Coturnix japonica: one gene and its partners. The protein of the gene in region 3 purifies or fractionates together with the protein of the main gene of each other region. This does not show direct contact. Links are inferred from orthologs where the notes say so. Each region holds a gene or a part of one and is shown on either strand. Other genes may lie near its edges. The genes, in order: ARHGEF6, DOCK1, RAC1, CYFIP1, GIT1, CTNNB1 and XIAP.

Region 1 (3,958 bases), on a different chromosome or scaffold from region 3:
AAGATCAGATGGGCTACTTTCAAAGAAAATTCCTTAAATTGTAACACAACTCTGAAACAAATACTGGGTGACACCACGCTCAAAAGTCGACTTTGGCTAGCTGCATTTTGTTGTTCTTCTATTTTCCAGTGTATATCCACTGCTGCACTGCCTTCTTCTTGTCTGAAAGAAAGGAAATTCAACTTAGTATGCTCTCAAAAAGCACATAACAGACAAAGTCACATCACCAAGTTGTTGCTGCATACACAGCAAATGTATTTTGGCTATTTCCAAACTGTCCCAAGAGTAAAAAAATACATCAGGTTTATCTTTAATAATTCCAACACAGTCTAATAAGCACCTGTAAGTGATAAAACAAATCTAGTAAACTGATAAAGATCTTCACTTTCAAAGAGAGAGATTTTCACTTGCCAGGACTAATTAATTTCCCACTTCCCAGAGAAGAGATGGAGAGAATTAACAACAACATGGCATATAAATACCAAAAGAAATTGACAACATTTTGACACAATCTGTATGATGATTTGGTAAGACCTTTTACTGTCACCTAGGATGCTGCATATTAAAGATAGGGAATCACCTTTTAGTTAGCAAGACTAATGGTCTGGATGGACCAGCCTCAAACTTTAAAGACTGATGCCTATTAATTTTGTTGTAGGTGGAGGAAGAGTTTATTTTCAAGACTTATTTCCTGACTCCACCTCAGTGCCCTATTACTGATACTGGTGCTTTTGTCATGAAAAACATGGTTCAGTGTCACTTCCAGAAGGATTTGTGATTTAAACACTTGAACATTCAAGAGCACCGCAAAGATGAGGAAATTAACACTTGTACGTTGAAATTCTTTGAATAATAACACCAAAATAGAAGTGATAGAAGTGGTGAGTTAGTAGCTTTTACTTAACTATGTACTTAATCAGCCTCAGAACAGAAACTACAGATGTTGCTTTTGTATGTCACACCATCACAGAACCATCTGGACTGGAGAAGACCTTCGAGATCATTGAGCCCAACCATGAACATGATCTACTGGGTCCCATCACTGTACTATGCCCTTTATTGATCTGAAATAAAATCCAGTACCCTGAGATAAAGCAGGAACTTGGCAGGAATACGTACAAAGTATTAATGGCATGTTCTGACAAAAGCACTGCACATAGCAAAAAGCTGTAAGCAAACTGAGATTATAACAGCACACAGTGTGCAACAGAACCTATCTCCTTTATCCAAGACAGATCTAACCTAAAATCAAACACGATTAGTCAGATGAACCACAGTATCAAGTGTAGCATTTTCTTTTCACCTTTTTAAAACCTGATCTCAAAAGTACTTTAAAGTAGCAGCAGTAAGTGGGAAGTATACAATTTAATCTGAAGACCCTTGCTGTTACTCCAATCCAGATGTTTTGGTCTTATTTTATGAAGAATCTTAGACTAAGTATGGTGCATTCATACTTAAATGCATTTTATGGTCTATCCGTAACTGCATTTTATGATCACTGGTTCCCCAAGTGGACCATTTCTTTTAGGAGGAAGTCACTCACTGAAATTCCTAACTTGGCAATTGAAAGCCCTGCTTAGACCTGCTCCTCCAAATTTTGCTTTCAGAGTTGAAAGAATTATTTTAGCCACTAAGGATATCCACCCCAATACAGATCCATCAAAAATCTTCTACAGAACTACTACAAAAATACAGTAATTACCTGATCTATCAGTACAGGCATCACTCATCTCTGCCACCAAACCAGACGAATCTGCTTTACTTCAGAAGCATCTTCCAGAAGTTATCATCCTGTAATCAAAATAAAGCAAGCTGAGAAAAATACATTTTACAGCACGAGTCAATCTATAGTGCTTCCCCCCATTTCAAGAGTCACAAGCTTGGGTTTGCAGATTAGTCTGTTTCAAGTTTTACTACTTCTCTTTAAAGTGGTGGAGGATTCACTGGTCTGGAATGGACTGGAATGACTTAGTGACTGGTTGCATGGCTTATGGATTCTCATTCCTTTTCAATGGTGCACTGCCACGTTAAATCCATAAGTTGAATGACAAAACGTACTGAGGACTAAACAGAAGTAAAAAGCTTTGGTTTTGCTTTTAGTTGGAGGTCTTCACGTATACTACATTCAAGAGCATCATTTGAACTTCATGGCTTTACCTGAGTCATAACTTGTCACAGGTTCTGCCACATGTACCAGGTATTCCTGTAACGCTGTGTCAAAACTGAACAGTCAGGCATCCAACTAAATGTCAAGTTTGCAATGGCTTGCTTCAAACTCCCAATAGCTGAGATGGCATCTGTCAATCTAAATCAATTCCTGACTTCACAAGTCTTTTAATTTTCTTAAAATAACAGTACACGCAGTCTGTTTGAGCATCTTCAACGAAAGATACTGGGCACAAAATACCCCCTCCCAACCCTACTTCACAGTATTCTGTCTACAGCGAGCTGCATTCTTATGTTTAGATTCAAAACTGGTGCCATAAACGCTTTTATCCAAGAAGAAATGTTGAATTTTGAGAACTTCTAATGTATTGAAGTATTTCATTTCCTTATTTTTTTAAAATCTAGACAGCACTTCCATTGCCATGACGTGCAGCTGGTTTTACCGTACTAGAGGAAGAAACTTGGTTCAATTTTGACTTAGACTGAAAAACTAGTTTGCTTTGCTTACCATCTTTGCTGTTTCACAGGCATTTGTTGCTTTAAATCAGCTGTGGAATGCTGAAAGTTTCACTTGTTTTTAGGAAGCCATAAGCCTTTGAGAAGTTGGAGAGAAAGACTTCTTTGCTTATCTTATTTTCTCCTTTGGAATCAAAGATGTTCCTTTAAAAGTGAAACACTACAGAGTTGCAAAAATTTGAAACAGTATGAGTAAGCATGGCTTGGTAGCTTCTTTGATGAATTGGTCAAACTTTTTTATTATTTTTTTTTCTTTTTTTTTTTTTTTAAACAGTATACTGTAGCTGACTTACATGTATGTACATGGTTCATTTGATGGGGAGAACTTTTTCAACTCCCCCCAAAGCAGGAGAAAGGCAAAAAAATTAGTATTATCCACATGTTTTTTCCAGGTGGAGTGACTTTTTTTTTTTTTTTAAAACACAAGATCTGAAGGCATTTTCTACTGGGAACATTGACTTCAGGGAACACTGACTTGAAATTCTAGACAAAAATGAATGTTTTTGTGGAACATCCCCACCACCCTCCACATCACAAACAACACTTTAAGAACGAGATGCTGAACATGTAGAACAATCCAGCTCCATATTAGATAGTTGGATGTCGTGTGGAAGAGCTTAAGTACTGCTTGTTCCGTTCACGAGGAAAGTCAGATGGGAATTGTGCCATTTCAGGGAAACTTTACTTTGGAAATTACAACACTAGTACACAGCTCAAACTTTATACATTTAACATCTGCCTTTTGAAAGAAATGTTAACAATTCTGAAATGAAATTAAACACTGGTTTAAATTTTCTTCACAAAAGCATAGAAGTCACGGAGGGGAAAACTTAACAGGCAACAATAAAAAAAAAAGGTAAAAACAACTTTTCCTTTTAGTAGTCCTCTGGTAGTAAAGATAGAACTTCACTTTTTTGTTTTTTTTGTTTTTTTTTTTTTTTTTTACTTTGTTTGAAAAGTAATGTCTTGGTCCAAAAAAAAAGTTAAGAGTGTTTTTAGTATCTGCTTCTGCCTCCACCTCTGTCAGATCTGCTTCCGCCACGGCCACCACCTCTGGGTGCTCCGCGGCTTGAACTACTGTATGAATCACGAGGAGGTGGATAGCCCCTTTCCATGGATGGGGGAAGACCCCTGTCTTGTCTTCCAACACGATCACGGCCACTTGAGTAGACATCACTTCTGCTGCTTGAGTAACTTTCTCGGCTTCCATATCCATCACGTGTGCTGCCGTAATCATCATATCGACTGCTTCCACCATAAGATGGCGGGGGCCCTC
Region 2 (3,500 bases), on a different chromosome or scaffold from region 3:
AACCAACTTGAGATGGTCCAATGAGCCTATGAAGAAGCACTGCAGCCCTAAAGCACAGACTGTAATTAATATTTAAACCATGGCTGACTTAAATGTTTGTACCACCACATACTATTTACTTTTTCACTCTAGTAGTCCGCAGTTCACAACTGTAATGTGGACACCAGTGACACTGATTCTCTGCACACTGTTTTCATTAGTAGGTACTAGATCTCGAAACAGAGAATCTCTTATTAATGACCATATTACAAAGCATACTGCTTTAACTAAATAACCATTATGGGATAGTGAACTCCACACTACACAGATGAGTATACATAAAAAGTACTGCATACCTTAAAATGCATCCAGTGGATGCCACCTGATTAACACTTTGGTCAACACATGTATGGTCAACACAACTTAGAAAGGTGTTCTTGTCCAGTGAGGCAGCCACTGTCATTACTACAGGGAATGAATGTTATCATAACCCACATTTTACTGGAGATCAACTGGTGACAAATGGAAGATGTCTAGAAGGATTGGCTGGATGCTCAGCCTATGAAAGCATCTGAGCTGCCAACGTTACCCAAATGCTGAGGAGAACCACAAACCCTCAAGTATCACTTACTTCAAAACAACCACAAGTCAGCTTGAAAACCAGAAACGGAAACCAAGTTTCTTAATAGCTTCTACTACTGATCCTAAGCCTCCTGTCACTTCTCTTTCACATTCTTATTTCATATGTGAGGTGCTATTAAGAATCTCACTACCAACTATCAGTTCCTAACTGAAGGATTTACCCACTAGCCGTTCAATATGGTGTGGAGAAATGACTGGACAGGAAAAGAAAAGGCAATGCCGAAGGTAAAATCTATAAGTTGCAAAGAGAAAAGAAGTTGAAAAGCTAACATAAAACAAGCAGGCAAAAAGCTTACCCCCACAGCAAAACCAATTGTAACAGTCAATTACGGATAAGACATTTTATGCCTGTTTCAGCAGATATTGGCACCAGACACTGACAAGAATCACAATGAAAAGGCCAAATTACTCACAGTCCTGTGATGATCTGTGTCGGAACGTGAACCTCAAATGACTCCGGTTCACATCTTCAATGGGGATTGCAACCTTCACGTATTGTGGGAAAGGATGGAGAAAGGAAACAGTCAGGGCAGCATCTTCAAACATATCTACCACTACCAAATCTCATCTAGACATTTTCAACACCAGTCCTGGCTCTTTACAAAGCATTAATGCTAAGGACAAGTTTCAGTTGGCCACCAAAGACCAACGGTCACAGATTCCCTAGGAAAATCAACAATTTACCCAGCAAGTTACCCAGCAAGACATGGAGATGCTAAGGCTGACACAGCCACAATGGTTGAAACCTCAAAGCATTCCCTGTCAATCCTCCCAGCTCAGGAACAAGCCCCCCTTGACTATGACTGGCAGAGGTGAACTCTGTAAGATATTTATTACCTATGCACCACTTGCACTACACAAACTATTAGTGCGTCACTGATCCAGACATAACCAACATGCAGAGATGTAGCTACTCTTTGCCCCTGATATTTTCACTCCAGTTGCTGTATTTCCTTAGCTGTGTGCACCAGCAAGCTCCGTGCTGCCTGCTGCTCCCTACCACATCTGGGGTTCTGAGACCCCCCAACAACAACTTTCTGCTGCCACATGCATTGAGAGCTCCTTTGACTTGAAACCACGGTGCAGAGAGATCCGAAGAGCCTCTTTTCTTTGATATGCATCTACTGTTCCCACTGACTACAGAATATTTCATTAAGCTAACGCTGGCCTCCTACACAAAAATCAGCATTTAAGCTAAAATGTTATTATCCAAGCAGCTCCAGCAAGCTTGCAGTACAATCAGCCAAGTCCCAAAACAACGATAAGTTCAACAGTATAGCAATTATGTTTTAATCTCAATATTCTGCTTTTGCAGGTCAGTTTCATGGAAAGAGTAAAAATTGTTCCCAAACAGATGGTGCAGTGCCCCCAAAACAGCCATCTTGACCAGAAGGATGAAATACAATTTTTATGCAATGAAAGACTAATCCATTTTCCAGCCATCTTTGAAATGCCTCCTTTTGTTCTACTGAGAATGGCTACAAGCATTCATGTTTCTAGATTTGCTTCTCAAGACTTTCCACTGAAATCTATATTAACTTTGTATGAACACCGATGGATGAAATTATTATAACATGTTCGTACCTTGACAGTCTCAAACCAGCGAGGCTGCTTTACTTGGTAATATATTACTGATTTGTACTCTGAGATGGCTTCATCACCAGCACCAGGAAAAATAACACTCTAGGAAACACAAGCAGAAGAGAAAATGGTTATGTCCATCTTCACCTCGACTTTTCAATTCGACAAATAAAAGATAAATCAGTAAGTAGATCAAAATATGACAGAACACATGCACTGATAAAGGAACTGTGAGAAGGAGAACGTTCTGTTGTAAACAAAAATAGGGACTAAAGTTGAAAATATCTAAAAAGATGTTGAAGAATCGTATATATATATATAAAAAAAAAAATAGAAATGTTCGCTAAATAATACCTCTAATCTTTTCCCATCTTCATCATAAACAGACACTGTAACTTCTACATTTTTTGCTGTTGTTTTACTGCCTTTGTCAAAATCTCCCTGAACCAACGTCACATAGATATCATTGCGAACATCTCCTACAAGAAAAGGAGCACAAAGTTTGAAGCAACGCATAGAATCAATGACCAACATCACTAGTAACAAACACACACATATTTACATGCAGGACAATGTTTGAAAGCCAGCATATTTTCAACACTGAAAACCAGCAGTGCTGAAAGCAGTTATGATTAGCTAAAATTGACTTATGGTTTGTAAACTTGAACTACCAACTCATAGAGTTGAAGCTAACAAATAAGCAGAACAACCAACCACACAATTACTCCTGGACTGAAAGAATACATCCTCATCATTAAGATTATGTACCGTATCATTCCAGAAACACCTCAGTTCTCTTGTTGGTTCTATCCTTTATTTTCATTATTAATTTGAAAGGATACATTTCAATTCCTTCAACTTATCTCACACAGGTGTTTTTACATGACGGTCTATGGAGGTCTGCTATAACACTGCAAGGGGAGATTTCTGATGTTTTTGTTGCCACAGGTCTCAGGGGAGGACTACATTTAGCTTTAGGTCTCAAAACGCTCTTCAGCCTCACCCCCATTAAAGTAAAACCTTGAAATGAACTGGGAAACAGGATTTCCAGTAATTCCAAGAGGCAGATGGTCTACGTGCCAACATACCATCATAACAAGCAGAGGTGCTGAGGCACTCAGAACATATCGGCTATATCATAAAATATCTGATAAATGCAGTCTGCAGCCACAGGGTGAGAGCTGGAACCAGCTCGTTTCTAAAAGTATCTGATGGCTCGAAGTTAGCACAAACCCTGATAGACCTGCTATCTCTAGATCAAAAGCCTTTCGCTCTGAAAAATCTTACCTGCTTTCAGG
Region 3 (4,091 bases):
TTAAGGATATTCAGCCTGAATGACGAATCGTTTCAGCTTCCATCTGTACGGGGGAACGTGGACATACAGGTTTTATAAAAACAGCCTTTCTCTTTTCAGAGATAGACACTGACATGAAATATCTGAGAATTATCATTGCCCTCCAAAGGAAAGAGAATAAATATTGTGGGATGCTCTGTCCACCGACGAGGTTTCATTTGATAGTTTCCAAATAATTTAGACATGTTCTGAAATGAATAGGAGATGAATCACTGGATAAATCCCTGGGATGGCACCTCTGTTGATTGCAGTGAATGGTCACTCAGCACAAGCAGTGACTGCTCGGGTCTCTTCCTCGTGCTTCCTTTGATGGATGGCAACACAAGGAGAATGGTGAATGTGTGCATCAGTCCAACCAGCAGCGTCTTCCAAGGAGAATAACAGCAACTGTGGAAAGGAAAAGGCTCCTGGGGCCATTGGGCCTGATCTGCTCAACTTTTACTTCAACAGTTACAGGAAATAAATGGTTTCCTTAGGGTAAAAAAGAAACCCAGGGCTCTGTGCAGCCTGGCAGCCCCGGTACGCGTGGTCCAGGCTGCCCCACCTGGGGAAGCTGGCTGTGCACTGATCTGGGCTAAAACCTGCCGGCAGATTGAATGAATGTCACAGCATGGCAGGGGGAGAGAGGGCAGCAGGAGGATCTGCCGATGGAAGGAGGCTTCTGGCTGCGCTCTGTGCTGGCACATGGAGCGAGAGGGACCGGCCTGAGGGGAAACGGGCATCTGTCCGTGGTGGCACACAGTGAGTGCCACAGGTTGGCCTTAACTCGAGTTACATCGGTAAATCTGTACAGCGAACCTAATTCCACACTGACACGTTTCGTACAATGTCGTGCATCGGTTTGTGCACAACAGCCTCGTGGCAGACCGGCCTGAGGAGCGTTGAAGGCAGGGATAACAAAATGGTGTCCAAAGGAGCGTTTGCTGTGAGCTTTGTGGCCATGCGATAGCAGTGAGCCGGGCAGGGCGGGATGGCGGGGTTCTGCATCCCGGTGTGCGGGCACACCGAGCTACCGCCCGGCCCGGCAGCACCGCTGCGTGACAGCGCGATTCTGTGCGGCTCCGTGCGAGTCAACGACGGCAAAAAGCAGAAGGGACCGGGACCGGCCCGTGTCGCAGCGCTGCGGGGAAGCCCGGCCCGACCCCGACGGGCGGAGGAACCGGGCGGCGGCGCCGCAGCGTGTCCCGGGAGGGCGGGGCGGCCGGAGCGGGCCCGGAGGCGGAGCGGCAGCGCGGAGCCCGGCCGGATGTGAGCGGAGCGGCCGCTTCCTGTTTCCCGCAGTTCTCTCCCCGCCCTGGGTGGTGGCCGCTGCCTCGTCCCCGCTCGCAGGCTCAGGGCGGAGGCGGCCGCGACACGCTGCGGAGCGACTGAGACGCGCTCCGCCGCCGGCTGCTTTATCGAGCGGCGCTCCACGCCCCGCCCCGCTCCGCAGCCGCGATGCAGGCCATCAAATGCGTGGTGGTGGGCGACGGGTGAGTGCGGACCCGCGGACCGACCCCTTCGGTCGGGCCCGAGCCCGAGCCGCGCTGGATCCCGAGGGCGGGGGCGGCGCGGGGACGAGCGGGGGGTTGGGGCTTGTGCGGGCGGGGGAGGGGAGCGAGAGCGGGACGGGCGGCGACCAGTGCCGGCAAATGGAGGCGACGGGAGGGGCGGGAGCAGCGCGGCCGGTGCGGGCCCGAACGCGGCCACAGCCCGAGTCCGAGCCCAGCCCGAGTCCGAGCCCAGCCCGAGTCCGAGCCCAGCCCGCTCCGCGCCGTGGCGGCGGGTGGTGCCGACCGAGGCGGCTGCGCGGGGCGGGGGTGCGGGCGGCCGGGCGGGGCCCAGCGGGGCTGCGGGATGTGAGCACTGGGAGCTGAGCACTGTGAGCTCTGTGAGCTGTGCAATGTGCGTTGTGAGCTGTGTGAGCTGAGCACTGTGAGCTCTGTGAGCTGTGCAATGTGCGGTGTGAGCTGTGTGAGCTGAGCACTGTGAGCTCTGTGCGCTGTGCGGGGCCGCGCCGGGGAGGAGGCAGCGCGTCACGGGGGGAATGGGCTGAAGGGCGGGGGGCGGATCGTACCGTGTGGAGCCACAAAGTACCGAACTCACATCGCTACATCCGCTTTTTGCTGCACAACTACGAACAATCTGTTCCGCTCCAATCGAACCATACGCGCCGTGTGAGCTGAGCGTTTTCCTGCTCGCACGGCTCCCGTCTGGGGAGGTTCCTGCCTGCAAGAGGCTGAGAAAGCAATCGAAACCCAACTCATTAACATCGTACTCAGCTGTAAATCACTGCTGTGCCTACAGCGCTCCGAATGGGATGTGCCTTATACATTAGTTAGAAACAAGTTGTTAGGATCAGGTTAGCACTAAGCTGACCTGTTGGATTCCAGCATAAGCACTGCAGCTGTGATGGGGATGTTGTGTTGCTGCTTCTCAGTACTCACCACCATGTGTTGCCATTGGCCCAGAGGCTCCTTTCTCTCTCGCTGGGGCAGCAGTGCAGGGCAGCTGAACAAGGCGTGGCTTGTGCACTTCCACGGGGCTTTTTTCCCCCTCGGTAGAAACAAAAATCCCAGTGTAGGCCGAGCATAATCGGTGTCACAGCAAACCCCTGCGGGTGACAGAGGCTGTAAGTGTGGCTGATGGCCTTGCTGCTGTCTCTGTAATTGAATGTGGTGGATTAACCTTCCAGTTTCCTGTGTGTGGCTTTGTATTTTTCAACAAGGCTTGGAGTCCCTGAGCTGGCAGCTGTTAGAAAGATAAACTGAGCTCACGTGGCACATGTGTTCGGCCTGCTCTTACTGTGCAGGGTTTTGAGCCGAACACGAGTGTACTGAGCACTTGATCATCTGACAGAGACTTGTCATAGCACTGTAACTGATGGATCCATCACTGTAATTGATGGATGGTGGGCAGTGTGACTGCAGGCAAACCTTTCAGTTGCGTTGACTTTAAAGGTGACTAAAATCCCTTTTTTTAATTGTCATTTTTAAAGTGAATTGATGTCTGTGGCAGTGCTGGAAATCAACGTGGTGCATCGAGTTTGGGTGGGGAGAAAGTTCTGCCTGTTTCCTCTGCTGGGTTGAGGAGCTCAGTACGGACGCTGTGTTACTCAATGACTCGCTCAGCAAAGCAGTTCTTCTTTGTCTCTTGCTTTGTAAACTACTCCTTTTCTCAATGCATTTCCTGCTGGAAATGAAAGTGTGTCATCCCACCCAAGTCTTACACGTACGTGTGAACAAAACACGGCATTCAGTGGGCTTTCCTTCCTCTGCAGTTAGAAGCACATACCTCCTAGGATCCCATCTAGAAGCCGCTGCTCAGTTTTGCTATCTGTTCATTGACTTCTGCTGGGATTTTTAAATATTTTATGGTGCTTCTCTGCTGTTGCTTCACGAGTGAAGACATTACAGGCGTTCTGGTAAATGCGGAATGTTTGGCTTAGATAAGGCTAAAGCTCTGGTACTTCAGGAAAACAATGCAGGTTAAAGATTTGCTCATATGACATAAAACTTAGGCGCTGATTTATGTGCCCTGTGGAGATCCACTGGGAACAAACCAGCTGTGGATGTACCTGTGCAGCCTTAACAGCTGGAAGCAAGCAGGCGGTTTCTGAGCTGTTTTTGTTCTTAGGGCTCTGACTGGTATCTTTTTAGAGCTCTAATTTGGCTACAAAACACAGCATGTTTGCTGGTTGTGCAATCTTGTTTTGCCCTTGTTTTCCTCTTCATTGTGAGGATTGTTAGAGGGAAAATAAACAGCAACTGTTGCTTGTGCTTGTGGAAGATGCAGAGCAGTAGGAACGTGTGCTGGGATAACAAGGGCAGGAGCTGCTGCTGACTGACACTTGTGGAGAGCACTGCTAGGAGTTATTTTTAGCAGCTTTTGTTTTCACTCTGAAAAAGCAGCTGTTCAGTGGTATGAAATCTCAAGTGATCTCGTGTAACGCTGGGGGAAGTTCTGTGCTTTGGAATGATGATTATTGGGTGACAGAGAAACGGTCAGCTTCCTGCTCTTCTGGAGCTGGTTTTCATTGTAAAACTATTGTAAGAAAAGAGTCTGTCTGGAAT
Region 4 (3,500 bases), on a different chromosome or scaffold from region 3:
CATAGAAACACCACTCTATAGAATTAGTTTCCCAACAAGGCTGCAGTTCAGTTAGACTAACCTCAATTTATGAAGAACAAAAATGGATTAGAAGTTTCCTTAACAGATTCAGTGTTAAAAGTTCATGTGGTTCTGGCAAAAGGAAACAAAAATCCAAGAAGAATGCAAACATCTTTGTTCTGCTTCAACCTTTCTTTAAGTTTGTACTGAAAAGAAACTTACTTTCAAAAGCATATGTTTCTCGCTGGGGGTTAGATACATTTTGTTTTCATAGTAGTCCACACACAAATTCACAATATCTGCAAGCAGTTCTTCATAGCCAACAATCACCTCCAACTGCTGCTGTAACGACTGGAAAAAAAAAAAAAGGAGAAAGGACATTAGTCAAGAAGTTACAGTCCCTTAGGATCAGCAGCTACTACCAAACTGAAAGGGTTTTCTTTTAAAGGTTTTATACAGCATTCAGTATTTTGGAAAAAGGCAATTGAAGCTTACCTGTGTTATCTTGTTGTGATTAGCAAGGAACATGGAGAGATTCTGGGACTCTTGAATGGATTGAGGATCTGCCATTTTCCGTAGGAACTGAGCAGCTCTTTGCAAATAGAAAATAAAACAACCATATTTCCCTTCAGTGGCAATGCTTGTAAGCAAACTCATCCCCTCTCAACACACTCATCTCTGCATCTATCGGGTAGTCAATAGAACCTGTAACTATCAGTACAATCAGTACAATGGCAACACCATTTGTTGCATGTACAAGGTTACTGACCTTTGCATATCTCCCATCTCCTGAATCAGGCAGAAAAAGATTTTTACACATAAGGCTAGTGCTTTCTTGCCAAAGCTTCACAAAAACATGTTAGCCAAACCTACCCTTTTATTGACAATTCTTAAGAGCAACACTGAAATATCGTAAGAACAACTTTAAGTTACAAGCATCAAAACTGGATGCCAAAAACTGGAGTAGAACAAAAAGTCAGCTTTCTCTGAAACTTGAAAAGCAGTATTGAGCAGTGCATATCCAATACATTTAGTGAACGCCATGATAGAAGTACTTGCCAGTTTTGCCTCAAAAGACAGAACAATCTTTAGTTGCTGGAAGAGCAGCATAAAGAAAGTCAATTTAGTCAATGGTTTAGCTGCAGTAATTGCAGAAAAAGCTGCCCAAAAGGGAGCTACTGCTGCCATCTTGTGGGAGCTCTGTCTCCCCACAGCATAAATCCTGATCCTGTCCTTAAGAGCTCACCTCTTGTAGGCTGAATGGTCGTTCTTCACACTGCACTTCATATTCTTCAGCTCATCTAGTACTGCAAACATGTTGATAAATTTGCCCAGTGTGATCAGATACGCTTCAGAGACAAAGTCTTTTCTCCTCTCTGCATGGCACAAGCGTCTCACCTCCCCACAAAACCGTTCAATTGCATTTCTCTAACGAAACAAAAAAGAGTCAGAGAGTAAAAGCCACAATGTTTCCAAGATTCATCCCACAACCAGAGGTCTCACACCTGTCTGTCCTCCCCTCTTAACAACAGTCCACTTTGGTGCACCTATAAGAGGTGATGAAAAGCACCACCAAAGCAACAAAAACATTTAAGGCCTGTGAGGCCAACAACACATGAGCACGGCCTTTCCAGCTTCACCTCTGTGTACTACAAATGTCACAAAGGATTTCCTTATGACAGGCAGAACCTGCCTGGCACAATTGGAAATATTATCTGCAATCTGAAGTCAGAAAAATTTAAAATCCCTTTGAAACAAGTGATTTTATAGCAGAATAGTGATTAATGTCAGCACAGCCATCTTTGCACGTGGTTATTTGAGGGCTTATTTCCAAGTGTGCACCAGGGCCATCTGAGATTGCCTTACACATACACAAAATGTGTTGCACTTCTGTTCCTTCCATGGTGTCAGGGACCATGTGCAATTACCTTCTATTTTATCCTCAAAGTCTTAATGGAGGAATCTCTTTTTTAGGTGGTGGTGCGCAGCAATAGAACAAGGAGCAATGGGCAGAAGCTGGAACACAGGAAATTCCATACAAACACAAGGAAGAATTTATTTACTGTGAGAGTGGTGGCCCAGAGAGGTTGTGGAGTCTCCTTCTCTGGAGATACTCGAGAACCACCTGGATGCTTCCCACTGAGACCTGCTGTAGGGAACTGCTTTAGCAGGGAGTAGGATTCAATGATCACTAGAGGTCCCTTCCAACCCCTGCAATTCTCTTATTCTGTGAAACTCCTGAAGTTTTAGAAATGCTGCCCTTCTGAGAGATCTTTTTTTCCACCAAATTATAACGATTAAGTTGAATATCTGAGCATGTAATATCAAGCATACAGAATAAGCATATAATATTGCTAACAAATGTTTAATTTCTATTCCTTTTACCTGGAAATACATGAACTTCATAAGTTTTGTGACTTCTGGCTCCAGAACTTCTACTGTCTTCTCATAAATTTCCACTCTGTTAGGCTGCTCGTTGCACTTAACCTGAAGACAATTAGAAAGACCATCAATCACACTTACAGCTTTCCCAGATAAAAAAAAAAATTCCCTCAGAAACTCAGATCCCAAATGACAAACTAGAAAACATATTCTCATCTTAACTATACAAATTTAAGGCATCGATAGCTGGCATTAGTGAATCTTCGCCATTTTTCATCGAGTTTAAAAACAGAAATTGAGATTTATTTTTTTTTCTCTGTTATCTCTGTTCTTTGTGCATAAAAATATTTGCAAGCTGTTGCCAATTCACAACTTTAATTTTCCTGATGCATCTTAATATTCTTCCCATCCCATCCCCGTATCACCATTCCCAGACATGCATTCACAGGCTTTTATTTCTGCACACGGATCAAGAAAACACTGCATAGCTCTGACAAGGAGAAAATAACCATTTGAAAACCTAGGATGTTTAACCCAAATGCTAATTATCACATGCTGCATCACCTGTTAAACCTGCTCTGAATTTAAATGTTTGGGGAAGAAAAAAAAAAGAAGTCCAACTAGTTCCCATGTGTTAAGACACTGTTCTATGGCATGCACAGCTTGCTAATTCAGGGATCAAAGCAAACTTAATTTCAGAACTCATTACTAAATCTGTAACCAAGACAGAAGTGCACATGATACATGATGGTTTATTTCGGACCCTTTACCTGGGGAATGGCTCTTGAGCAGCTCCTCCATGTATACAACATGACAGCATATTCCTGGCCCTCTTCTAACATTTCATTCTGCAAGAGAGAAACTCGGTAACAATATAGCAGTGTAAAACATAGGAGTTAAATTCATTTCTCTGCCATTGTTCCAAAGTAAACTTTTTCTTATCAGAAAGTATATGTGCAAATGTGTATTGCAAGCTGAATGATACATCTTACTGCATGTTTTTTAAACCAGCACAAAACAACTAAAAGTTCAGAATGGAACAGTGTTTACAACCTGCAAGTTCCTTTGTATCCCAAAACAACAATATCACCAGCAGAGAGAGAGTTATGACTAACAAG
Region 5 (4,188 bases), on a different chromosome or scaffold from region 3:
GTGCACGAAGGCCAACATCTGGTACTTGGCGCGGATGAACTCTGACTTGGTGGGGCTGGAGACACAGGGTGAGGGGGGGGGGACATCCACCACAGCTCCCCCCATCCCCACAGCCCCATCCCCACACACAGCCCTCACTTACTGCACTTTATCCTGGGGATTTGCCTTCCTGCGCCCGCTCTGCACCTGCGCCGGGTCCAGCAGCGAGTGCTCCCAGATGGAGTTGGCCCCATTGCTGGCCAAGGTGTGCACCATCTATGCATGGGGGGGGGCACAGTGAGCCGATGGGACACCCCCCTTGTAACCTCCCCCCCCGGGTGCACCCACCTGCAGCAGCGTGGCGGGCCAGGGGCTGTGCCGCAGGTGCTTGACGATGGAGATGTGGCGGCCCAGGCTGCGGTGCACGCTGCAGCACTCGTCGCAGATGAGCACACCGCGGTTGATGGAGGCCCAGCCCGGGTCTGCAGGGGGCGTGGGGTGTTATGTAGGGGGGGCTGTGTGTGGGGGGGGGCAGCGTCACCGTAGCAACATGGCGGTTTCCAGGGTGACGGAGAGGGGCTCAGCCCATCGCCAGGGGAAACCCAAAGGGTTCCCTTAGCAACCAAGGGGGGGGGGCAGGATTTGGCCCCCTCATCAGAAGGGCTGACAGCAGCGGGGGCGATGCCAGCACTGTGCAATACACCCTTACGTGCCGATGCTGTGTCCCCTGTGCTGCGGGTGTCCCCATACAGGTGGGTGCCCTCCCACCCACTCAGCCATCACGGACTCAGTGGCTGTGCCCCCCCCAGCAGCCCCACGCCCCCTGCCCGGCCCCGCTCGGCCGCACTGGAGCCCTTTGTGTCCCCAGGAGAACAAAGGGACGTTTGAGCACTGTGCTGGCACCGGCCCCGCTCCAGCCACGGGGGCCCCACCGTTCTTTGGGGGCAGCTCCCCACAGCCAGCACCCCAATGGGTCCAGATCCCCCGGCACCAACAGAAGGGATGGGGGACAGATGGGGTGCCACCCCCCCCTCCACAGGGGGCAGGGGCAGGGTGGGCCATACGGTCCCCAGCGTCCCTGTGCCATAGCAGAGGAGTGTTGTGCATCTATAGGGCCTACACAAACACCGCGCCGCCCCACGGGAGGAAGGGCTGCGGGTGGGAGGGGGCAGCAGCACCACCAGCGACCCACCCCCATCACCCAGTGCGGCGCTTCCTTCCCACCCCCTCCCCAAAACCCCACTGCTGCCCCACACCAGGCAGCCCCGACCCCTCTAATATGGGGGGCACAGCCGGCAGCGGCCACAAGGCAGTGTTGTCGTCGTCCCCCCCCCCAAATCCTGGCAGCACCGCCCGGGCAGATGGCAGCGCTTGGCAGCAGCACCGCCGCATCTGCGCCTCCGCACCGCGGCCCACGGGGCGCTGCCGGGAACAGGATGCTGCGTGCCGGGGGGGGGGCACCCCATATAGCACCCCATATAGCACCTCATATAGCACCCCATATAGGATCCCATATAGGACCCCATACAGCACCCCATACAGCACCTCGCAGTGCCACCCCTTCCTCCTTCATTGGGATCGGGGCGGCTGAGGGCACAGCAGAACGGTGCTACCCCATAACCCGGAGCAATGGGAAACTCCATCCCTGCGCCGCGGGGGCGATGCCGGAGCCGGGCACCCCGCACATCCCGACACCGGCTGCTCCCGGCCCCGCGATGTCGGAAGCGGCCTCTGGACTTTATAACTCATTTCCTCCCATGGCCGCCGGGCGATAAGGGATTGGGAGAAAAAGCTTTCCATTTCCCCCATAGGAACCTCGGCACCGCCGGGTACCTTATAACAGGGGCTGACCCACAGCAGTGGGTGACCCCGCAGCCCCCCATGCACGTGGCCGCCATCCTCAGGGCTCTGAGCCGCTTTCAACGTTCATTCATTGCCCCCAGCGCCGCAGGGATGGGTCTGGGGGTCACAATATGGGGGGGGAGCCATCTTTAGGGTATGTTATAGAGATAATGGGGTGCAGCGGGGATTCCCAGTGCGGGGTGTAAAAGGGGAACCCGGGGGTAAAGTAGGGGGTGAAGAGTGGGGGGTAATGGGGGGCAACAAGGGGCTGTAAGAGATAGAACAAGGGGTCTGGGGGGCACAGGGGGCATTTTAGGGCTCACTGTAGGGTTCCTGGGTGCAGAACAGGGGCACCGGGGGGCACAGTGCTGGGTGCCGAGAGGGAAAGTAGGGGTACAAAGGGATGGGGAATGGGGTGCACCGAGGGTTGCAGGGGGAACGGGGGGGGGGTTTATTTAGGGCACGTTGTGGGGTTGCTGTGGGCAAAGAGGGAGTCGGCAGGGTATGCAGGGGGAACCCTGGGCTCCTGGGGTCTCAGCACGGGGTGTGAAGGAAGGGTGGGGGTCACTGGGACCCCTGGGGTAAATAGGGGGTGCGGGGGGGGGAGGGAGGCACCGGGGTATCGCGGGTACAAAGCTGGGGGTTCAGAGCGGGGCAGCGGGGTCCAGAGCAAAGGGGGAGGGGGGCGTCATCCAGGTGCTGATGCTGGGGGGGAGGGGATGGAGGCACACGCACAACCGAACTGCGAACGGCCCCGCGTGGAGGAGGGTCGGGGGGGGATAACGCCGACGGGGCCGGGCGCGGCCCTTCCCTACCTGCGGCACTGCAGTCCGCGCACACCTCCGCCCGCTGCGCCTTCCGGGACATCCTCAGCGCCGAGCCGGGCCCGGGTCTCTGCGCCAGCGCGGAGCGGGGCCGGGGAAGGGGGGGATGGGGGGGTCGGGTTGGGGAGGGGTCGGGGGGGGGCGGCGGGGCTCGGGGCCGCCTCGCCCTCCTGCCGCCTGCCCTGCCGGCTGCTCGCAGCCCCGGCGGCTCCGCAGGAAGCGGCTCAGGCCCGGCCCCGGCGGAGGAGGAGCAGAACCGCCCCCGCCCCGCGCAGCGCAGCGCAGCGCAGCGCAGTCACGGCGCGCCCTGAGCAGCAGCGGGTGATGGAGCTGCGGCCCTTTGGGGCGGATCGGGGCCCGTCCTGGTGCTGGTTCTCGTCCTCATCCCGGCTCTGTCATCCTCTGGTTCTGGTCCCGGTTCTAGTCCTGATTCTGTGCGTCTCCTTGTTCTTGTCCCCATCCTGGTTCTGTTCCTGGGCATTCCCTGCCTCTGTTCTGGTCCTGCTTTTGGGTATTCCCTGCTCCTGGTCTTGGTCCTGGGTTAGTCTTGGACCTTGTCCTGGTCCCGGTTTTGTCCTGGACAACCCCTGGTTCTTGTCCTGATAGTGATCCGGATCCTGGGCATCCTCTGGACCCGGGCCTGGTTCTCATTTTGGTCCTGGTTCTGAGTTGGTCTCATTCTAGGCATCCATTGGTTCTGGTTTTAGCCTTGGTCCGTGTCCCGTTCCAGGTTCTGACCCAGCCCATGTCCCGGTTCTGATTCCATGCACTCCCCGGCCCTGCCCCCAGCCCCATTCCCAGCCCAGGGTCCCATCCTGCACCCGCACCCCCGAGGCCCCAAATCACCCCGACCCCCACCCCCACGATGGCTGAACCTGGCATAGTGTGTGTGGGGGGGTTTGATACTGGGGGTGCCCATCTCTGTGCCGTTGTCAGATGGGGTCGGGGGGCGCCACCCCCAGCCCGGGGGACCCCGATCAGCGCCCGGGGCTGGGGGCACAGCGCCGTGTCACGCTGCACCCGCCCGGCGCTGAGCTCACCGCTGCATGGCCGTGACGTCACGGGACAGCGGGACCTTTGGGGGGGGGTCGTCACGGCCACAGCCCACCATAGGGGCGGGGAAGGAGCGGGGTGACCCCGCGGGAACCCCATAGGGGCGTGGGGAGGGGTCGGAGGGTGGGGGGGGGGCAGCCGTGGGGCCCAACCTCGCATTGTTCTCTGGCGGCTGCCGGAAAACACGAGCGGAGGGACGGGGGCGGAAAGGGAAATGGGGCCGGGGGGGGGTCGGCACCCCACGGGCTCATCGCGGGGGTCGCGCTGCTGCGTGTTGAGCGCCCGTGGGTGGGGAGAGCGGGGGGGTGCGATAAGAATTCAGGTTGTGCCTTCGGGCGCTGCGGAGCCGTCCCCGAACAGCCCCATACAATGGGGGGGGGCATAGGGCCGGCGGGGGGTGCGGGGAGGAAAAGGAGGAGGAGGAGGAGGAGGAGGAGGAAGGGGCGACGCCGCGCTCAGTGACTACAAGTCCCATGAGGCCGGGCGGTGC
Region 6 (4,202 bases), on a different chromosome or scaffold from region 3:
CACCCCCAAAACAAGCCTTCTAATGCTTAACCAAAAAGTCAGCCAGCAATAGTGCCCTGCCCTCTTTTACCAGGAGTCACTTTGCCTGAACAGACAAGGAAATCGCATGCAATACTCAGTGCCACGCAGTCTGCAGAATTAGCACGGTGCCACGGCTAAGCCGGAGCTCCTGCAGAGCCACCCAGAAAGGCAGGAGGCTCAGGATTTGCAGGCACATGCTTGAGGAGTCGTGCACAAGCCCCAGCTGCCTGCATAGTTTCTCACCAAATCTTATCAGGCCCTATGAAGTATATGATGTTTAAGATAAGTAAGGTCGGTCCTGATTTTCCTGCCGCAGTACGTAGTCTGCCAGAGTTACAGAACAAGTTTTGCTGCCATCATCACCGCCAGCCCTGTGTTACCAGCTTTAACTGAGTTAACAGGAGCGATTCTGCTTACTGCTGTGTTTGCACACTAATCTGCCTACCAGACAGTATTCCACAGAAACATCTTTAGCCGTAAGTTTCAGACAGCACCATCAGACTCCCATTCACAAAGACAGATGATTACAATTGCTCTTTCCTGCTCCCTTCTTGCTATGTGCCTCTCTACTCCAAGAGTCATTTAGAAGGCCACCAAAACCGACTTTTCTCCTTTACAAAAGAATTCACTTAAGCACTGCGCTCTGAAAGACTAAACACAAGCTTCTGTTAGTTTAAAGTCACGAAAACCAACATTCACCACACAAAGAAAGCCTCATCTCTGAAGGGCAGCGAGGTTTCAGGACTGAGATTTGATAAGCTGGTTACTGACACACCAGGCAGTCACAGCAACATGCAAGCATTCATGAGAATGGATCAGGCAAGCAGCCCAGCCCATTTATTGCTTTGGTAAGAACAGGAAGCCTGGGTTGCAGGAGATGTAACAGAAGGCTACATTTGAAAAATGGATTGACTTTAAAGCAAATCCTTGTTTTTAGAAGCTCTCCTGCTTTGTCCTTTCATCAGGGTGTTTTTATTGATTTCTTCCCCACACTCTGAAATGAAACAGTCAAACAGATCAACATGAACGTTCTCATGTCTATCAGTTTGTAACTAAACAGATGTATGAACTAATAGCCACAGAACAGTGATATTTCCTTAGGGCTCCAGAAGAACCCAGCACTCGATCCAATTCTTCTTGCAGTGGCTGAATTTAGAGAGGTTTAAGACTTTTCCTGAACACTTCAGCAGCTCATTTCCAGCAGTACCAACCATTCTGCAACACACAGATAAAGGCAGCTGTCAGCACCTTTTATAAAGGGTGCAAGATTAACATTAGATTCCTGCATTGTCAGTTCCTGAAATTCACGTTATAACTTAACAAACAGCAATGAGCTTCACGCTCACTGCAGTTTTAAAGGCTTGCAGGAGGACATTACTAACATTCAGAAGCAAATTTGTTAAAGGAAGAGTTTATCTCCCCTAATTCTGAACTCAGAATGAAGGAAATAGTGACACGTCCAGGTAGTTTCCTAGCCTGCCCTTGCCCTATTCCGAGCACACAAAGATCCTGTTTTACTAAAACCCCTCCTTGATTTCCTTCCCCCGACCTCAGCATACCAGCCCGGCCTCTTTCCATTCACCACTGCATACTTTGGGGGATGGGAGGACCACAGATGTCTGGAACGTACCGAGTGTCAGAACAATGGCCGCTCCACGAGAAAGAGATCAAGAAGTAAAAGCCGACCGCAAAGATCAACACCGCTGCTCTCCAATTCACAACCCGCCCGCGGTACCTTCACAGCCTGTCCTCCCTTCCCAGTAACCTCTACCGGTGGTATCTCTTCTGGGAAAAGAGAATCCAATCGACTGCACGACGTCCTGCTGCGAGTTTCAGCTAGAGGATAACCGAAGATTTGGGGAGTTTTGGGAGAAACTTGCCCCAGGACCGTGCACAAAAGATGGCTTTTCAGGAATGGACACACCTGGGTCTCCCGTTTCACGGGGAGCCGGAAATAAGTGCCCCAAACATAGCTGGGAGCGACTGCCAAGTTGTTTCGAAGCGCCTTAGCTGGGGGGAACCGCGGTCCCCAGATGGGCTACAGGGTGTCTCAAATTGACGCTACGACCGCACTTCGCGGACCCCCATGAACAGCGTAAGCCCTCCAGCAATCACAGGCACGCAAATAAGACCGAAAACCCACGCGGCATCAGATCAGCTATCTCCCGCACACTGCAGCGGCCGTGATTAGTTAATTACACGAACAAACCCACTGCTCTCCGCCCCTCACCCCGCCACCACCACGACGGCGGCTCGGTGACCCCCCGAGAACCGAAAAACCCTCCCAAGAAGCCCCATGCCCGCCGAGCCTCGCCCCGCTGCCCGGGACGCGCTTCCCGAGAGGCCCCGGGGGCCGCAGTTGCCGCCTCCCGCAGCTGTCCCGACCCCTTCCGCCCCCCCTCCCGAAGCCCCCCACCCTCCCATCCGAAGCCCGGACCCCCCCCCGTTCCCTCTCCCCGCTGAGGGAAGGGCTCGCCCCGAGATCCCACCGGATGAAGCGGCACTAACGTGGCACGGAGGCGAGAGCGTAGCGTCCCCTCGGGCTCCGGCTGCTGCTGCCGCCCGGGCGATCCCGGCCGGATCCGTCTCTCCTTCCTCGTGCCGCCCTCCTTCTGGCTCAGCTCTCTCCCAGCTGCGTCCCCCGCCGCTGCCTCCCGTATAGCAACCGTGCGAGGCGGCGGCGGTAGTCCCCGAGCGCCGCTGCTTGCTGCTCCCAGCGCCGAACCGGGAGAGAGGCTTAAAATGGCGGCGCTCACAAGCAGGCTCTTATAGCGAGCGCTGGGCTGGCTGTATCCTGCCGCCGCGGCCGGGCCCAGCGCGCAGCATTCCACAGGCACCCAGCGCACAGGGCAGGGGGAGGAGAAATAGTGCCCGGCTCCCAGGGCGGAGGGAGACGGAGGAGGCCGAGGCGGCAGCAGGAGCCGCCTGAGGGAGGGAGGGAGCGAGGGGGAGGGAAGGAGGGAGGGGGCGGGCGGTGGTGGTTGGGACGCTGAGCTCCGGAGGTGGGGGAGAAGGGAGCGAGCGAGTGAAGTTGTGCTTGAGGGGTGCGGCCGCGGGGATCAGCCTGGAGGCTGCGTCCCTGCACCGTCTGTTTGTACGGAGAAGACTATTTTCAGTATATATATACATATATATATATATATATATATTTTTTTTTTCTGGGTTTTAAGCACGTTTCGCAACGCACGCCCCCGATTCACACAGCCTAGCTTGGGTGGCGGATGGGGGGGGGGGCGGGCTGGCTCCGCTGGCGTCGGCGAAAACGCGCCTCGCGTTTTTCTCCAGGAAGCGGCTGTTAAAGACAAGTGTCTCGTTGTGCGATTTATTGGTGTTTCACGAAAGAAGCGAGCAGCCCCGGACCCGCTCCTCACCACCGGGGCTGCCTCCTCTCAGCGTGCGCGGCCCCGCGGGGCGCGGCCCTGCCTCGGCGCCTCAGCGCGGGCTGCGGGACGGTGAGAGCGGGGATATGAGTTTGCTGCTCGTATTTCTTTTTCCTCTCGTTGTATTCAGTAATACACAGACTAAAAATAAAAGAAAGAAAGAAAAAAAGCCTTTTCTACAGCGATTTGCACGTCAACTTGCTCCCGTCGATGCTTTTATTTTTTTTTTATTTTTTTTTTTTCAAATGGGATTCTTCCTTGTGGTGAAAATAAAAAATAAGGAGGGTTTGCTGTACACAGGACACGCCCCAACCTCCCAGGCGGCCCGGGCACCCTTCCCATCCCTGTGGGGCCGCACCCCGTACAGGGCAGGGAGGCTTGTCCCATTAAAATGGCTCTCGAAGTAGTTACTCTAATAATAATCATCTTTGATTCCTTCCTGTTATGTTGTAGGGCTTGCAGCAGTGTCCCCCTACCAGCCTCTGGGCACCCGTAGGTTCCCGCTGTAAGAGGTGAACAGCCTTGAAGTTGGAGGTCCAAGGCATCCAGCTTCATTTGTTGCAGTGTTTTCTCTCAGGACGGTTGCCTGTTTTGGCTCCACAGGCCAAAAGGAGGGTAAGAATGAGGGCAACGAGGCGGCAAGAGCTGGCAAAGCCAACGCTGGCAGTGCAGGGCCAGCAGGCTGTGAAGGTTGGTCACCTTCCAGGGGAATTATCGAGTGGTGCTGCATGCCATGGAAGTGTGCAGCAATGGGCAGAAGGACCGTGGTGTTCTTGACTCCTGAAGTTTGACTCCAGTTGT
Region 7 (4,227 bases), on a different chromosome or scaffold from region 3:
ACAAAGCAACTTCAATAAACTGAGAAGCAAGCTATACAGATCCAACCCTCCACAGAGTTAAAACAGGGGAACAAAGTATCCATCAAAAGTATCAATCAGTGACTATAAAGTGTATCACTGCAGGAATACAACGGAGTTACTGCTCTTCTTGGTTAGGAAGAAAAAAAAAAGGCAGTCAATGGGAATATGTGAACAAAATGGGCAGTGATAAAAAACACCTGGCAAAACCTGCAGTGACCATGGATACTCCTCCCTTCTCAAGTATGAGCTGTGCTCCAGCTTGCAGCATCACATGCTTTTACTGTTCAGCTAGAAAACATTTATGCCTATAGATGAGTGAAAAGACAGAAAGAGACAAGCTCTCTTCAAGGGGACATAATGAGACTGGACTCCAGTTGCAGTAAAGTGATTAATGCCACAGCAAAACTGCCAGATCCTTGCGATTATAAAGGAAGAAACTGCAGCAGCAGGGCAGCACAGGGAGCCCATGACCTCTGCCCAGCTGGGCTGCTCACACAGCAAATCCATCTGGGCTAAATGGCACCTCAGCCCAGTATCACTAGCATGAATGCTTTGTCATTCATCGATGGGCTGAAATCATACACACCCAAATTGGTGTGCATACACACAGCTGTGTGCTTGGAATCTCTTGAATTATCCTCTATACTTGAAGTTTTTTATCAAGTTGGGATGACTCGAGGACTAATTCTAACACAAAAGTGAAACGTGAAAATTGCACCTGCAGACAGCACTCAGCACCAAATGCTGCCTTACTGTTTAATAAGAAAACGTTCAGAACACAGAAGGGGAAGGACAGCAAACTTCAAGACCAGCTTCATTTTACGTTCTATATTACATAAGTGACATTGCTCACTGAGGATGGCTTCTCAATTCCAACATTGATTAGATTCCACTAAGCAAGCTTTAAAATAGAACCTGCACTCTAGTAAAGAAGATTTTGGATAGTCATCAAGTCCAAAATTAACATGGGAAGCACCCAGGTTCTCTGGTAACAATTTTCAGTTGTGCACACAGTATTACAGTTTCCATTTCTAAAATAGGAAACGTTCCTAAAACTAGATGTGCAAAATCTCTCCTTATGAAATCAATTGCTGTCCCTTCTTCGTCTACTCAAAGACACAGCAACGTATAAGGGGGTCAAATATCTTATTGCTGGTATCCACCCGATAACTAACCAAGCATAGAAAAGGCAAAAAGTAAAACATTCTGTGATACAGTCTGAGCTGTTAAGAAGCAGCACCAATTAAAACAATAGCATTTCTAGTCCTGAAGGACAACCCAAATCAGGCTGTGCAACACGCCTTCTTCCACTTTCACATACCTTCAGCCTATCTGCACAACTAAAATTTTCTTCCCCTTAGGTTCAGAAATCTATTTCTAGAGCCTGGCTTCCTATAGTTGTGTTCAGAGCCTTTTGAATAGAACATCTCATGATGGACCTCTTGCTATGAAAAATAAGCTGCAAGAGACTACATCCATTAACTCCTGATGGAAAATAAGAATGAAAGGGTATCTACAATGGCTTTCCCCTTGGTATCCTGCCACCAACCAAGGTTAGCAGCAGATTAACTAAAGCAGATACAAGTTTCATGTGTTCTGGCACCAATCTTTAGGCAATAAACAAACAAATAAATAAATACATCCTTTCCTTCACAGGGAGCTCTTCATTGACTTATGAACTGGATATTCTGCAACACTTCAACTCCCTTTGGCTGCCTCGCCCAGCCTGGCAGTACAGCAACAGGTGCACCATCACTATCGTGGGCACACAGAAGCCTGCAACAAAATCCACCTTCACATTCCAAAGGCTTTGATAGGAACACGCATTTTCTAACTGTTCTGATAACAGAAGCAAGTCTGCCTCGTATCACTTGAAGCAGAAAAAAACCCCACCACACCCACATCAGAGTTCTTTCACTTTTGCTGCTGGTTACAAGGAGCAAGGTCAGAGGAAGCACAGAGCTGTCATTAACTCATTTCTTTGCCCTTCTTGGCCAACAGCGTGGGTGCCCAACTTCCAAAAGGACTGAATCACTCGTGTGTCCTCTTATGGGTCCTAAATAAAACTACAGGACAGCAAAAGGAAGCACTTAAGGAAACAAAAAAAATATATCAAAATATAGACTTATTCAACAAAACTTTTCATCCCCAGATGAAAACTTGCTTTCTTAAAGTTCATCTTACGCAGTTATTTCAAGAGACGAGGTGAATAATTCAGTGTATATTTAACTGCATCAAGCTATTAGTTAAGAAAGGATTTGGAAGCATCCATCAGCAAAATGTTTTTTTTCTTTTGGTGTAAGTGAAGCAAACACCACCACACCTCATCCCTAACGTAACACACAGCACAGCTCCAGTGCGGGCAGCAGCACAGGAGGAAGAGCTGAACGACTCTGCTCCATCCGAACACTGTCCTACACACGAGATCACAACTCCAGGCAGCAGACACTTCAGTGGATACCACAAAGCCCAGGCTGTGAAACCACGAGCGGACACCTCTGCAGCGGAGGGGGCGCGCCCGTTCCTGTGGCAACGCCTCCCGGCTCGGCGACCCTCGAGCACATGGGGCGGGTGGGCCCCGAGCAGAACCAGGGCTGGAAAGGAGCGGCCCTACCCCGCGCGGGGAGTCCGCCCGCCGACCCGAGTGCGCCGCGCCCGCCTGACAACTCACCGCGCCGCGTATCCTCCTCACCGGCCCCGGCTGCGGGAATCGCTCCGGCTGAGAAAATGGCGGCTCCCGGCAGCCTCTCGGCTCCGCACCGCTCGGCAGCAGCGCCCCACACAGGGCCGGGGGAGCGCGGCAGTGCGGGGCCCGCTGTCAGACGGCGGCACCCAGTGGCGGCGGGCGGGCAGCGCATCACCCCTCAGCGGCTGCTGGTCTTCCTGCCCGCTCCTCGTGGAGTGGAGCGGCCGAAGAGCCCCCAACCCGCTCGCCAGCACTTCCCGCTGGGTACCGGCCAGGCGTGGTGCTCAAGGGCCGCTGAAAGATGGTGTGAGGGAGTGGTTGTTCCCCACAGAATCCATGGTCTGCACAAAGGCCACCGTGAGAAGTCATCCGCCACAGAATCACAGAATGACCCGGGTTGGAAGGGACCTCAAGGATCATGTAGTTCCAACCCCCTGCCTGGCAGGGCCACCAAACATACACATTTACTAGATCAGGTTGCCCAGGGCCCCGTCCAACCTGGCCTTGAACACCTCCAAGGACGGGGCATCCACAACCTCCCTGGCAGCACACATCCGCCATGTGCTGCTCTCTGAGGTACCCCCTGAAGATGAGAGCTGCCAGCAACGCCGCTTGCTAACTTGGCGCAGAACTTGTCTTCTTGCCTTTATTCCTCCCTCCTCTCATGAGAACAACGAGTTTTTCCAGTCCCGAGTCAGCAATGTGTGGGCTGACATCTCTGCAGGTTGGCATTTCACCTGATCTGAAACCTCCAGTGTATCTGTACAGAGTCAAAACAAAGTCGTTTCTAAATGAGAAAACTGGCTGTACTGAAAATGCAGACTATCGTTCTGGATCACATGACAGAAATATTATTTAAGAATTTAAACCCAAGATGATAATTGTACTGATTTCAATATCCCGAGAAATAGCTGTGTTTCGCTAGTAAAGATTCCTATCAGTCCACACTCAGTTCACACCATAGCAAAGCACAGTTATTTACTTAAAGATCTCAGACGTATTATGACACGGTGAGAGGTTAGCACCTTAACAGAGCAGGATGAATGTGAATATTTAATCTTATAAATCCTCACCATCCCACATTACTAATGCATTCATTAGCAATGATTTTAACAAATGCCATCGCTTTGTTGAGGTTTTGATGCTTTTCCAAACGAGGCAAATCATTTTTTTTAATACCACAAGGTGTTTTTACAGTGACCCTCTTCTGGGTTTTGATGTCTAAATCAAACATCCTGATCAAACAAAACCCAAAACTTCTAGACCCAACACACAGAGCAACCAAAACATAAGAAAACATCACAAACAAGAAAAATGATGACAATAAGAAGAGTAATGCTTATAAAATGTTTTACCTTCTACACAAGCCAGTTCTTGTTCTTCTGTTCAACCAATTTAAAGTTCAGTTTAACATAAAATTCTGAATCAGTAAGTTGTACTGCAAGCCAAAACTAACGACATCTTTGGTGACTCAACAGTAAAATGAATTGTATTACTTTGAAGCACCTTTCACTATAGGC

The links.
Region 1: the proteins of RAC1 (region 3) and ARHGEF6 purify together in Homo sapiens (affinity purification with mass spectrometry; 3 studies listed by BioGRID, with this or other methods). This does not show direct contact. The link is inferred for Coturnix japonica from reciprocal best matches to the Homo sapiens genes RAC1 and ARHGEF6.
Region 2: the proteins of RAC1 (region 3) and DOCK1 purify together in Homo sapiens (pull-down; 6 studies listed by BioGRID and IntAct, with this or other methods). This does not show direct contact. The link is inferred for Coturnix japonica from reciprocal best matches to the Homo sapiens genes RAC1 and DOCK1.
Region 4: the proteins of RAC1 (region 3) and CYFIP1 purify together in Homo sapiens (pull-down; 3 studies listed by BioGRID and IntAct, with this or other methods). This does not show direct contact. The link is inferred for Coturnix japonica from reciprocal best matches to the Homo sapiens genes RAC1 and CYFIP1.
Region 5: the proteins of RAC1 (region 3) and GIT1 purify together in Homo sapiens (affinity purification with mass spectrometry; 3 studies listed by BioGRID). This does not show direct contact. The link is inferred for Coturnix japonica from reciprocal best matches to the Homo sapiens genes RAC1 and GIT1.
Region 6: the proteins of RAC1 (region 3) and CTNNB1 purify together in Homo sapiens (affinity purification with western blotting; 4 studies listed by BioGRID, with this or other methods). This does not show direct contact. The link is inferred for Coturnix japonica from reciprocal best matches to the Homo sapiens genes RAC1 and CTNNB1.
Region 7: the proteins of RAC1 (region 3) and XIAP purify together in Homo sapiens (affinity purification with western blotting; 3 studies listed by BioGRID and IntAct, with this or other methods). This does not show direct contact. The link is inferred for Coturnix japonica from reciprocal best matches to the Homo sapiens genes RAC1 and XIAP.

The regions. Positions count from the first base shown.
Region 1 is NC_029519.1:4,266,646-4,270,603, forward strand, and holds the start of ARHGEF6 (rho guanine nucleotide exchange factor 6), read right to left. Parts: upstream 2,801-3,958; 5' UTR 1,703-2,800; intron 163-1,702; 5' UTR 1-162. Other genes in the region: RBMX (RNA-binding motif protein, X chromosome), read right to left, coding at 3,678-3,958. UniProt on the Homo sapiens protein: Acts as a RAC1 guanine nucleotide exchange factor (GEF).
Region 2 is NC_029521.1:29,272,342-29,275,841, reverse strand, and holds part of DOCK1 (dedicator of cytokinesis protein 1), read right to left. Parts: intron 2,682-3,500; coding exon 2,557-2,681; intron 2,305-2,556; coding exon 2,206-2,304; intron 1,108-2,205; coding exon 1,035-1,107; intron 1-1,034. UniProt on the Homo sapiens protein: Involved in cytoskeletal rearrangements required for phagocytosis of apoptotic cells and cell motility. Along with DOCK1, mediates CRK/CRKL regulation of epithelial and endothelial cell spreading and migration on type IV collagen.
Region 3 is NC_029529.1:8,463,519-8,467,609, reverse strand, and holds the start of RAC1 (ras-related C3 botulinum toxin substrate 1), read left to right. Parts: upstream 1-1,291; 5' UTR 1,292-1,476; coding exon 1,477-1,511; intron 1,512-4,091. UniProt on the Homo sapiens protein: Plasma membrane-associated small GTPase which cycles between active GTP-bound and inactive GDP-bound states.
Region 4 is NC_029516.1:117,490,442-117,493,941, reverse strand, and holds part of CYFIP1 (cytoplasmic FMR1-interacting protein 1), read right to left. Parts: intron 3,231-3,500; coding exon 3,153-3,230; intron 2,488-3,152; coding exon 2,386-2,487; intron 1,429-2,385; coding exon 1,247-1,428; intron 593-1,246; coding exon 496-592; intron 352-495; coding exon 223-351; intron 1-222. UniProt on the Homo sapiens protein: Component of the CYFIP1-EIF4E-FMR1 complex which binds to the mRNA cap and mediates translational repression. In the CYFIP1-EIF4E-FMR1 complex this subunit is an adapter between EIF4E and FMR1.
Region 5 is NC_029534.1:4,843,467-4,847,654, forward strand, and holds the start of GIT1 (ARF GTPase-activating protein GIT1), read right to left. Parts: upstream 2,801-4,188; 5' UTR 2,689-2,800; coding exon 2,637-2,688; intron 462-2,636; coding exon 328-461; intron 256-327; coding exon 143-255; intron 56-142; coding exon 1-55. UniProt on the Homo sapiens protein: GTPase-activating protein for ADP ribosylation factor family members, including ARF1.
Region 6 is NC_029517.1:39,909,123-39,913,324, reverse strand, and holds the start of CTNNB1 (catenin beta-1), read right to left. Parts: upstream 2,801-4,202; 5' UTR 2,530-2,800; exon of another isoform or gene 2,511-2,529; intron 1,802-2,510; exon of another isoform or gene 1,652-1,801; intron 1-1,651. UniProt on the Homo sapiens protein: Key downstream component of the canonical Wnt signaling pathway.
Region 7 is NC_029519.1:14,642,539-14,646,765, forward strand, and holds the start of XIAP (E3 ubiquitin-protein ligase XIAP), read right to left. Parts: upstream 2,801-4,227; 5' UTR 2,693-2,800; intron 1-2,692.